3 linked regions of the Danio rerio genome follow. The protein of the gene in region 2 purifies or fractionates together with the protein of the main gene of each other region. This does not show direct contact. Links are inferred from orthologs where the notes say so. Each region holds a gene or a part of one and is shown on either strand. Other genes may lie near its edges.

Region 1 (3,500 bases), on a different chromosome or scaffold from region 2:
AATTTACCAACATTACTGAGGCAAATCATTTTAATAGTCATAGACAAAAATATTTAAACAAAATATCCCATCTCTTTATAGTAAAATAAACATACGTTTTTTTACTCGTAAGCTTGGTAGATAAAATGGTACACAGTGTGTGTAAAATTGTGAAGTTGAATGACTACATTACCACTATGCAAAAATTTTTCAGATGGGGTGCTAGTAGCTGGGATGAACAAGAAAAGAAACCAAAAGGCCTCTCCGGCGAAAATGACAATGGTGTTCGGTCAACAGTCATTGATAGCGATTTTAACGCCCAGCCAAATTCTGAATATTTTTCTCTATAATTTTCACAGAGTATCTACAGAGTCTTTAAAAGACAAATTTCAAGATCAAAATTTTAGGTCTTAAAGTAATTTACTGAAATATTGTGTTGTAGGTCTTAAATCTTTTTAAACCAGGTATTAATTTTCCTTTGTCCATTTATAGCTACCCAATCACCAATAACCAATGTCAATTAAACTTTAAACTTTATTTCAAAAGGTTACTTTTAACTCTATTCACCGTTTAGGTTTCTTACAATAACAATTGTTTACAAGTGCGTTAAAAGGACAGATTGTTGTGCATAGATGTAGTTTATTATATATTTTTTAACTTTTAACTTTTACATTTTTATGCTATATTGATCTAAGAGCCCATGATACAGCAGAAATGTGTAAACATGAGATTCTAAAAGTGTGTGTTAATATTAGAGATGTACCAAATTTTTGGCTGAAAATGTTATGCCATTTAATGGACCTTCTAATTTTTGTGGCTTCAGTGATTGTAGGGGTTCTCTTTTAAATCTGGAAACATTGACAACTTGCATCAAATCTATATGATTATTGTTCAATATGGAAAATAATTATCGAGTTTGCATTTTTGTCATATCGCCCAGACCTAGTTTAAAGGGTATTAGAATAACCAAAACAACCTTTCAGATATTTTACAATGCAAAGACTTTTTTAATGCGCAAACTGAATTTGTTTGGTAAAAGTGTTTTTTCCATCATAGTTTACGCACATCTTTTCTTTTCGGATAAAAAGTTTCTCTTACTTTGTTATGCACGTACGCATTTCCAAAATTGATGCGCATCTTGGCATTTCCATCAACAGTTTTTTATGTACATTTCCAATTGTCTTCAAGTCTTACAACTGACTTAATGAAATGTGCAGAAGCCATGCTTTTAGAGGACAGCTGATGTAATTATGTGGTTTAAATTACATGCATACAAAATTAAATAATTGTTTGTTTCCCATTCAAATATTATAGATCTGTCAAATATTTTAAATGTTATAAACAGTTTTGTTGCTTAATATTGCATGGATACAGTCAGTCCTTTTTAACAGATAAAAATAACATGCATATAATAGCTTTAAAATAATTATTAGATGTATAAATACAGGCTGTTTTGTACATCGTGTACAGAAAAAAGACAGGTTTATTGTGTTTTTGTTTTAATTAATTGGAGTGATTATTGAGGAGTATATTTTGTGTTTGTCTGTCATATATTTTTACCATTATTTACAGAGGATAAAATTATAATTCAATGAAATAATAGTTTATATGCCATCTTCCCTCTCAGCCATATTTAAAACAGAAATTACTTTATCAAAAAGACTCTATTTAGGGGTCATAATTAGCCCCAAAGTAGTAATTACATGTAATTGAAAAATGTAATGCTCTGTCAATCCATGTTTTACTAATTTTTCTGCAGGTGGTTTTTAATCAATTAAAATATAATAATAGCATTTAGTATGATCCCTAAGTCAGAATATAAGAACAGGTCAGAATAATGCCTCGTCTTTGACACATAATATAATTTGCGAAACATTTATACTTAATCTATGTTAGACTCTGATTTGCTGGTTGGATTTTTCATAGGAGCATGAAAAGCGGTGTTGGAGTGTCGATTTCAACCTTATGGATCCCAAGCTCTTAGCGTCGGGATCAGATGACGCAAAAGGTATTCCCGCAACCGAACCGTTCCTATCAAGTTATTTGATTTATAGTTCTTACGAAGATATTCTTTTATAAATACTCATGAATGCAACTCGCTTCTCCCCAGTCAAGTTATGGTCCACCAACCTGGACAATTCAGTAGCCAGCATTGAAGCCAAGGCCAATGTATGCTGTGTTAAGTTCAGTCCAACCTCTCGATATCATCTTGCCTTCGGTTGTGCAGGTACATAATTCATTTTAATCTATTAAAAGTTTGGCTTCCTGCAGAAGTCTTTTTAAAACTTTGTTTTAAATCTTTTACAGACCACTGTGTGCACTACTATGACCTGAGGAACACTAAGCAGCCCATCATGGTTTTCAAAGGCCACAGGAAAGCAGTATCCTATGCCAAGTTTGTCAATGGAGAAGAAATTGTCTCTGCGTATGTATACACTCAAAGTCCTTGTGTTTTTTTTTTTTTTCCTTTATCAGTAGAAATAATTTGAGGACAAAAGTCAGTGGAAGAAGTTAAGGGTAGATCTGTCTCTATTTTTTGTTGTACTATATATATTGCAGCAAGATATATTGCTTTTTAAGACCATTTTATGCCACTCGTTATATAATAAGAGTATAATAGCATCACAATGCTATTATACTCTTCCGAAAAACACATAATATTTTATTCTTAAGAATATTTTAACAATTTAAAAATTGGGTATTGTAATCAATATAGGAAAACGCATATCCAAAATTATAATGTTAGCTAATAGTGCAAGGTAAAAAGTAACACAGGCTAAAATATCTATATATATATAATATTATATATAATATAATATAGTCTAGTACCAGATCTATTTTCAGTTGTCAAACATCCACAAGAAAATACACTAATTTATAGTAAATACTATAGTGTTTTTTTTTTACCATAATGACACTGCCAGCTTCAGTAGAGATGTTGCACAATCAGCTAAAATTTTGCTAGAATTGGTTTTTATGTATGGGCTATAGTGCTTCACCAAAAATGTAGAAAATAAAATAAAATAAATTAAAATAAATAAAAAAATAAAATAAAAAAATATAAAGATATATTTAATGTGAGTGATCATTCATGGCTTATAAGTATTGTGTTGAAAGTATAATTACAAACTAAATTTTAGAGTCTTGATTTTAAACTGAGATCAGAGTTAAATTGTGATACACTGTGTTCACAGCTCAACAGACAGCCAGCTGAAACTCTGGAACGTGAACAAGCCTCATTGTTTACGCTCTTTCAAAGGCCACATCAATGAGAAGAACTTTGTGGGTTTGGCATCAAATGGAGACTATGTAGCATGTGGTGAGTGGCATGATATGACATTAATTAAACAACAGAAAGGTTTGCTTTTGGCATTTTGGTTTATAATCAAAGCTATGATAATGCGATATATAAAGTCAAGGCTGGAATTATTCAAACCCCTGGCAAATTCTCACAAAGTTTTTGTTCAAATGTTTATAAAAGCCACAATAATGCATCTTGTACACAGTCTTATTATCTTTTA
Region 2 (4,092 bases):
ATGTATTGGGTAATTTAATAGATAGCTTTCCCAGGAATGGGTTGCAGCTGGAAGGGCATTCGCTGCATAAAAACGTGCTGGATAAGTTGGCGGTTCATTCCGCTGTGGCGACCCCAAATTAATAAAGGGGCTAAGCCGACAAGAAAATGAATGAATTATTTTAACAGATAGCATAAGTAATACTCCATACATCGACTGTTTTTACATTACTGTGATAGTTGGGGTGGGGGAAGCCGTTAATAGAATACAATTAATAGGAAATTTAATAAATAATATAAATCTCGCTAACATCCGGCCGCAACCATATGTGATCTATAGATGATTAACCATGTGGATGGACGATAACAGCCTTCTCAGTCTACTTAGTTAACTTCCATCCTCAACCGTATTTGATCTAGCAACAAATGTGCAGTGTTGGTTGTCCTTCAGGAACATGGTTGGGAAACACTGCTGTAAACTGTATTTTCAAGCCACACAATAAGCTCGCATTCACACAAATCTTTTAGTTTATACATTTAATATTTATTGTGTCTAGTTTTTTTTGTTTGTTTTTTGCAAACAATTCGCAAGTTCACATTTCAGTACAAAAATAAAAACTCCATAAATTAAAAGAGAGACTACGTTTTCACAGAAAACTTCATACTTGGACGTCAGACCATTTAATGCAATGGTTAGGCAGCACACATTTGAGTAAACAACATTCACACGTTCAGAAATCAACCGTTAAACGGCCGAAAAAAAATAACATGATAGTTCTCTATTGCTCAGAACACACTAAATACAACAAATCTAGCACCGGTAAACTCAGAAAAATAACTATATTAGGTTAACTCAACACTAACCAGATCATTAATGCAAATAAAATCAGTTGATCCATGCTTATCTTGCTACATGTGGCAGGCATGTATGGTTCAGATAAATATAGGAAGCAATATCCATTGCTTTAGAGTCACTTCCATAGCCCTGCAATGCCATTCGAAATCAAGTCACAGATATAAATACTAATAGTCTTTAGTGGAATCTCAAAGAGTGAGGAGGGTTGGGGAATTCAAGGAGTCGGACGACTGATCGTTGCTGCTGCTGCCCCTGCGATGCACTGATGTCGGGAAGACGTCGTTTTCTGGGTAGGTGAACATGAAGGAAGACGTGTAGGTGGTGCAGGCTGGAGTGCAGGTGACGACGGGTGTGCAAAGCGGCTCCAGGTCAGTGTTAGCCGGCGTGTAGAGCGGCTCCCAGTCTTGAGTGTACAGAGAGTTGGACAGGTCCATGTCTGGAACCGAGCGAGCCGTTTCCAGCTCCGCTTTAGCCAGGAGCTCCAGAGACTCCTCTAGAGTGGGCTCCAGATCAGAGATCTTCACTGTGGTGGAGCTGAAGCTGTCGGTGGAGGCCGTGCTGGAGAACAGCAGGCTGCTGGAAGAGGTCGTGATTGATGTGTTTGGTGTGGAAGAGACCACTGAGGTAGTGACGATCTCTGGGACTGAGATGGAGCCCATGGGAGAGGAGGACGGCTCTGGGAAGCTGGCGTCGGCCGGGATCTTGCAGATGGGTTTGTGTGCGGCGAGGATGAACTCTAACCTCTCTTTTTCTTTGAGCAGGTTGGCGATGTCGTTCTGCAGGGCGGATTTTTCATCCTCAAGCTGGTCAGTTTCCTGTTGTGGAACATCAAAGGGTTAGTTTAATGATGTCATGGATGGAACGAGCTAGAATGGGATTTGGAGGGAAAATGCAGAATACTTACAGCTTGCAGTGTATCGGTGAGTTCACGTCGACGGTTGCGGCATTTCGCAGCAGCCATCTTGTTTCGTTCACGACGTACTCTTTTCTTCTCTTCTTCTTCTGGAGAAAGCTGCAGAAGCACAAAAATAAGGGTGTTTTAGCATTGGCAAATTAACATTCAAAATGTAGATTGTCAGTTGTTTGTCAGTTGATTTTAAAACAAAAGTTAATTGCAAATTATTTACCTGTTCAGATCTGCTTCTCTTGTTGGAGGTCTTTGCTCCAGTAACCCTCATTTTGGGGTAAGAGCTCGGGTTGTAGGATTGAGCTGCGCCGTTGGAGGGCGCCACAGAGGAGATCATGGGCTGGACCATCCACTGCAAGTCCGGGCATGAAGAGATCGCCGTGACAGTTGGCACGAAAGAGGCACTTGAGACACTCAGATCCGTGAACTCCTGAAATATAGAATATGAAATCGTTTATTATATGATAAACAATATATTTTGATTAGTCACAAAACTAATATATATACAATTTATTTGTTTATATTACTGTTTATGGGGTTTCATTCAGATTATAACATAATACAGAACATAATATACTTTAAAAACATAAATAAACTGACTTAAATCATGATTTATCTGAAATGATCATTCTAAATATATTGCTGTCATGTAAATACCTGAGTCTGGTTGAGCGGGTAATACCCGACGCTGTCGCCGCTCGGTGAAGCCGTGCTGCACCGGGAAGACGCGTCGCAGTCGGCGTTAAGGCTGGTAAACATCATCCTGTCAAAAGTCGAAAAGCACGAGCTATCCAGCGCTAATATATCCAGAAAGTTAAAAACGCTCCGGTCTTGTATTTCCTTGCTCGTCTGCTGCTCTTTTCTCTGTTTTGGTATCCAAAGTTTGACTGCCGCTCCACAGCGCTCGCGGGGTTTATATCCAGATCTGTGCCTGACGTCAAAGGGAGGGGCGTGGCCATGTGCGTTCAGTGTTTGCATAGAAACGTTAAAAACACGTCTTCGCGAGCGCATTTTACTGAATACATTATCGAAACATTAATAATGCAAGAATACACGCTTAATACGTAAGATTTTATCTTTAAAAACATTCGCATGTTGTTATTTCTGGGTGAAACGGAGTGAAAGAGACGATGTTCCGTAGCAGGGTATCCCAAGACGTCATTTAACTTATATGGAAAACATCCTGAAGAGGCGGAGTGCTTATGGGAAATACTCTGTGCAAGTGAGCAGCATTATGTAAAGATAGTTCGAGAAGATTTCAATGTTTTACAAGTAAATAAATAAATAAAAACAGCATTTAACAGAATATACTTATTATATCAGCTCTAAATGTATTTTTATTATAGTTTATGAACTTGATTTAATGACTTTATATTATTTTCTTGACACAATCATTTGATCAAAATTGAATATGTCTTTTTAAGTACATATCACGTCCATGCTGTGTTTACATGGCACCTGTTGTCCTAGATTTCATCATTTCTGTGCAGAAGTATTCAAAGTCTTTCATGCCCCGGGCTGTGTTCGTACCTTTGGGTGTATAAAGGGCGTGTCGACTCATAAACCACGTATTTCCAGTGTGAACTGCCTTCACACGGTTAACGAGGGATTCCTTTGTAACAAAATGCTGAGCTCATTTATTTCCTCAGCCTATTGCATCACAGTAAATAATAATAATGCAAGATTTGTAGTAGTCTAAATGTGTTAAATCTGCTATATTCAATACATTTTTCAATATATACGTTATAGTATATTTAATAAAATATATGAATCACTATATTATGTATTAAAATCATCTACATCAGTTCAATCATGTTTATTTAGGGACCATTTTTGTATTGCTCATCATTAATTGTCCGTATTTATACGTTTATCATGTATAAAAGTCTTCGTTTATTACTTGTCTGCCGTTGGCTACGGGCAAACATGAGGTTTGTTATTGATTAACAAGCGAAAACAGCTCTATCAGCGTTCCCATGTGACGTCACTGATCCACTTCTCTGCTCGTGTTTTGTTTGATCTTCCGCGTTGTCTAAGCGACGCCCCTCCCACTGTCGTCACTGCAACACGAGCCTGTGCAAATGAACTCTGAAGTTTCACCTTTCAGCAGCGAGAGTCTGCTTTGTGTATTGCCGGTAAATAAACACGCCGCTTTGATTGTGTATACTTTACGGGTAGCAAAAAACTAAATTGCAACGTTTTATAGTCGAAAATAGTTTTGGTATAAACACAATAAATGCTTTTGACTTCCACATCCGACACCTTTAACCCTTTTCTAGATGTTTAACATGAAATGTTTGTCTGTAAATGTGAAGAATTTACACTGCGCCAGTTCTCTAGTTCATTTAGCA
Region 3 (3,500 bases), on a different chromosome or scaffold from region 2:
ATGAGCTGAAAACCATAACATAGACTAATTGTGATATTCTACTACTGCTGTTGTCTGTTGATTTTAAATATGGAGTCTCTCACTCTAATCCCACCATTTAATTTAAGCTAATTTAATTTAGAGCCAGTACTTCTGTCCCTCGAAAATTCAGTCTTTCGTAGAGTGAGGGGTATTATCCTTTTTAAGGCATTTAATGTAAAATTTTTTGATACCTTGGAGGACTAGGGGTGCATGATTTTTTTCCATCAGCTGCTTCTGTACCTGCCATTGCACGAGGGGCTTTCTATCTTGTCGTCATGCTTCTCAGTCACTTGAGCAGCCCAACTAATCTGCTATGCCATTCATTGACAATCAATTTCATTGTTGATTTTACCCATAGTTGTATATCAGATAATGTAATTAATAATTATTATGAGGTATGTAATTGTAGTTAATATCAGGGCTCTTTCGGCACTTCCCTAGGTTTTTCTTTAGATTTAGGCTTTCCTTCCTTCCTTCTTTCCTTCCTTCTTTTTTTTTACTACATACTTATACAGTACTGCCAATTTAACTTATAACTAATTCAATTCACCTGTACTGCATGTCTTTGGACGGTGGTGGAAAACGGAGCACCCAGAGGAAATCCTCACGAACATGGGGAGAACATGCAAACTCCACACAGAAATGCCAACTGACCCAGCTGGGGGTTGAATCAGTGACCTTCATGCTGTGAGGCGATCGTGCTACCGACTCCGCCACCATGACACCCATGTTTGGGATCATTATCAGTATTTTAAGTAAAGCCCTTTCCAGAATTGTACTTATCAGGACTCACAAGTCCATCAGTTAAGACATTATTCTGAACATCACTGGCTGAAACGTAGCCCCAAATCAGGATAGAACACCTACTGTGTTTCGCTAAAGACTGCAAACACTCATTCTTTTGCCTCTTTCCTTTGTCTTTAACATGTAGTAAACAATTGGACCTGATTTCATGGGCATGACCTTTAATGACATCCGGATTGAGATCTGTAGAGTTTATTATGGATTTGGCCTATCCTTTGCAACTATAACAGCTTCAACTCTCCTGGGAAGGCTTTCCACAATTCTTCTGGAGTATGTTGTTTGGGAATTTTTGATCTGGATTGTGGTCTCCCCTTTAATTCATCCCAAAGGTGTTCTGTCAGGTCAAGGTCAGAACTCTAAAGGTCAGTCAAGTTCTTCCACACTGAACTCACTCATGGAGAGTAGGAGCATGAAATGTTCCAAAATGTCTTGGTATGCTGAAGCATTAAGAGTTCTTTACAATGGAAATAAGGGGCTATGACCAACCCCTGCAAACAACCTCTCACCGTAATCCTACCTCCACCAAACTTGGCACAATGCTATAAGGCCAGTATCGTTCTACTGGAAACTGCCAAAGCCAGACTCATCCATTGGATCGCCAGACAGAGAAGTGTGAAACCATCTACATTGTTCTTGAGTCCAGTGGCAGTGTGCTTTACACCATTGCCTTTTCTTGCTTTGCAATGAAGTTGGTGATGTTAGGTTTGGATGCAGCTGCTCAGCCTTAGAAACCGATTCCATGAAGCTCTCTACGCCTGTCCTTGAGCTAATAACTATAGATGTTGACTACAGAAAGTAGGCGACTTCTGTGCACTGTGTGCTTCAGCATACACTACGCATCCTCTTTGTTTTTTTTGTGGCCTACCACTTCATAACCAAGTTGTCGTTGTTTCCAATTTCTTTCGCTTTGTTATACTGCTAACAGTTATTCTTGGAATGAACAGTAGTAAGGAAATTACAACAATGGACTTTTTGCACAGATGTCCACCTATAACATGAGTTCACAGAGCACCTGAGAGCCACCCATTATTTCGCAAATGTTTGTTGATGCAGTCTACAAGCCAAGTCCACAACAAAATGGCCTATTTTGCCCACTACTGCTAATAAATTCTTATAAGTACAAGGTATTGTGAAGTGTTTCGGTGAATTAATTACTGGTGAAATTTCACTTTACCTAATAATAATAATCATAATAAGAAAAATAATAAGAATAAGAATAATAACTGTAGAGGACAATGATTCTTGAGGGCCAAAGGATTCTAAAGGATCATTAAATGCATAGTTACAAAAGACTGTTGTTTTTTTCTTGAAGAGCAGGCCATTCAATGTTCTTTCCAAACTTCCTATTTCAAAACTATTTATATGCAGTCAAAAGTACAATGAGAAAATTCCTGTCACACACCTATCTTTTCTATGAAACCAGACTTTATTGTTTAGTTGCTTTGAATATAGCTTGATACTAAATGTTAAAGGTCAAACATAAAAGTTTTTAGTATTTATTGGTATTAAATAAATAAATTAAAAACCAGGTTTTCTTATTTTCACACTTTAGAACTTAACAGAACTAATAAAAGACGTGTGTAGTTGTAGAATGTTAGGTTTTAAAACTAAACTAAAACGTTCAGCTGTTGTTTCAATACACAGTTCTTATTAGTGATCATCTCATAACAGAGCTGAAACCCAACCCTTTGTTTATTTTTTTGTCAAGCAAGACCATTCTCTAAATCAGGTAGTGAAATAGACGATTGAAATGAATGCGTAGCCATCTTGTGGTGTTTCTTTGGTTTGGACGAGACAGTCAGTAATATGAATCTTCACACTGAAACAATCTCAGTTTAAAAAACCTTGTCTTTTGCCTCATACAAGGAACTACGCACCATTTTGTTGATTCACAGGCGATTGCACAACCTGGACTGCAGGAAATGGGCAGAAAAAAGATGGAATGACATTTTCTATTTTGTTTGCTTGGTCTTTCTAGATTTTAAGCAGCTGTTTGAGGTTTATTTTGGGGAATTGATACTACTGTGTCACTAACATTACAGAAATGAGGCTTAATTAAAAGTTTTGGAAATAAGCATTAAACAAACCTAGTGATGGAAGCTTGTTTTGCTGTTAATATTCCTTCAACTGTTTTTTCATCATCATATTAATGGATCAAACTGAAAATATAAAGATTGGAATCGTAGCTCATAATTTTTTCTCCTGTTTTTTTTCTTTCCTCTGTCTCAGATGGGGATGATGGGTGCTCCAGGCCCGTATGGCGGTTCATATGGTCAGTGCGGAGGACAGTCTCAACTTGGGCCTCAACTCCAAAACAAAGCGGGTCAACCAAACAGCATTAACCAGTTTAATATGGACAAGAAACCTCAGCTTGGGCAGAACATGGGTGGCATGGTAAGAAAACTGTAAAGAAAATGTGTCATTCACTACCTGACAAAAGTATTATTCAAGTTTTAACGAACAACAAATAATCGCTTGACTTCTATTTGATCATTTGGTATCAGAAGTGGCTAATATGAAAGGCAAAGGCCTCTAGATTATGATTCTTTTGCAAAAATAAACTGTATCATGCCTTGATTTTTTAAATTATTTAATTAGGACAGTAAGGTCTGACTTAACTTAGACAATAGTTTTGTCACTTAACAGAAATAATGCACAGTTTTATAATATAAAGT

The links. The genes of interacting proteins can lie anywhere in the genome.
Region 1: the proteins of fosab (region 2) and cop1 purify together in Homo sapiens (affinity purification with mass spectrometry; 4 studies listed by BioGRID and IntAct, counting the BioPlex papers as one, with this or other methods). This does not show direct contact. The link is inferred for Danio rerio from reciprocal best matches to the Homo sapiens genes FOS and COP1.
Region 3: the proteins of fosab (region 2) and ep300b purify together in Homo sapiens (affinity purification with western blotting; 3 studies listed by BioGRID and IntAct, with this or other methods). This does not show direct contact. The link is inferred for Danio rerio from reciprocal best matches to the Homo sapiens genes FOS and EP300.

Annotation. Positions count from the first base shown.
Region 1 is NC_133177.1:38,101,960-38,105,459, forward strand, and holds part of cop1 (E3 ubiquitin-protein ligase COP1), read left to right. Parts: intron 1-1,905; coding exon 1,906-1,987; intron 1,988-2,089; coding exon 2,090-2,206; intron 2,207-2,286; coding exon 2,287-2,404; intron 2,405-3,173; coding exon 3,174-3,298; intron 3,299-3,500. UniProt on the Homo sapiens protein: E3 ubiquitin-protein ligase that mediates ubiquitination and subsequent proteasomal degradation of target proteins.
Region 2 is NC_133195.1:49,906,116-49,910,207, forward strand, and holds fosab (v-fos FBJ murine osteosarcoma viral oncogene homolog Ab), read right to left. Parts: upstream 2,615-4,092; 5' UTR 2,504-2,614; coding exon 2,399-2,503; intron 2,172-2,398; coding exon 1,962-2,171; intron 1,847-1,961; coding exon 1,739-1,846; intron 1,650-1,738; coding exon 1,023-1,649; 3' UTR 501-1,022; downstream 1-500. UniProt on the Homo sapiens protein: Nuclear phosphoprotein which forms a tight but non-covalently linked complex with the JUN/AP-1 transcription factor. In the heterodimer, FOS and JUN/AP-1 basic regions each seems to interact with symmetrical DNA half sites.
Region 3 is NC_133178.1:23,789,361-23,792,860, reverse strand, and holds part of ep300b (histone acetyltransferase p300), read left to right. Parts: intron 1-3,054; coding exon 3,055-3,219; intron 3,220-3,500. UniProt on the Homo sapiens protein: Functions as a histone acetyltransferase and regulates transcription via chromatin remodeling. Acetylates all four core histones in nucleosomes. Histone acetylation gives an epigenetic tag for transcriptional activation.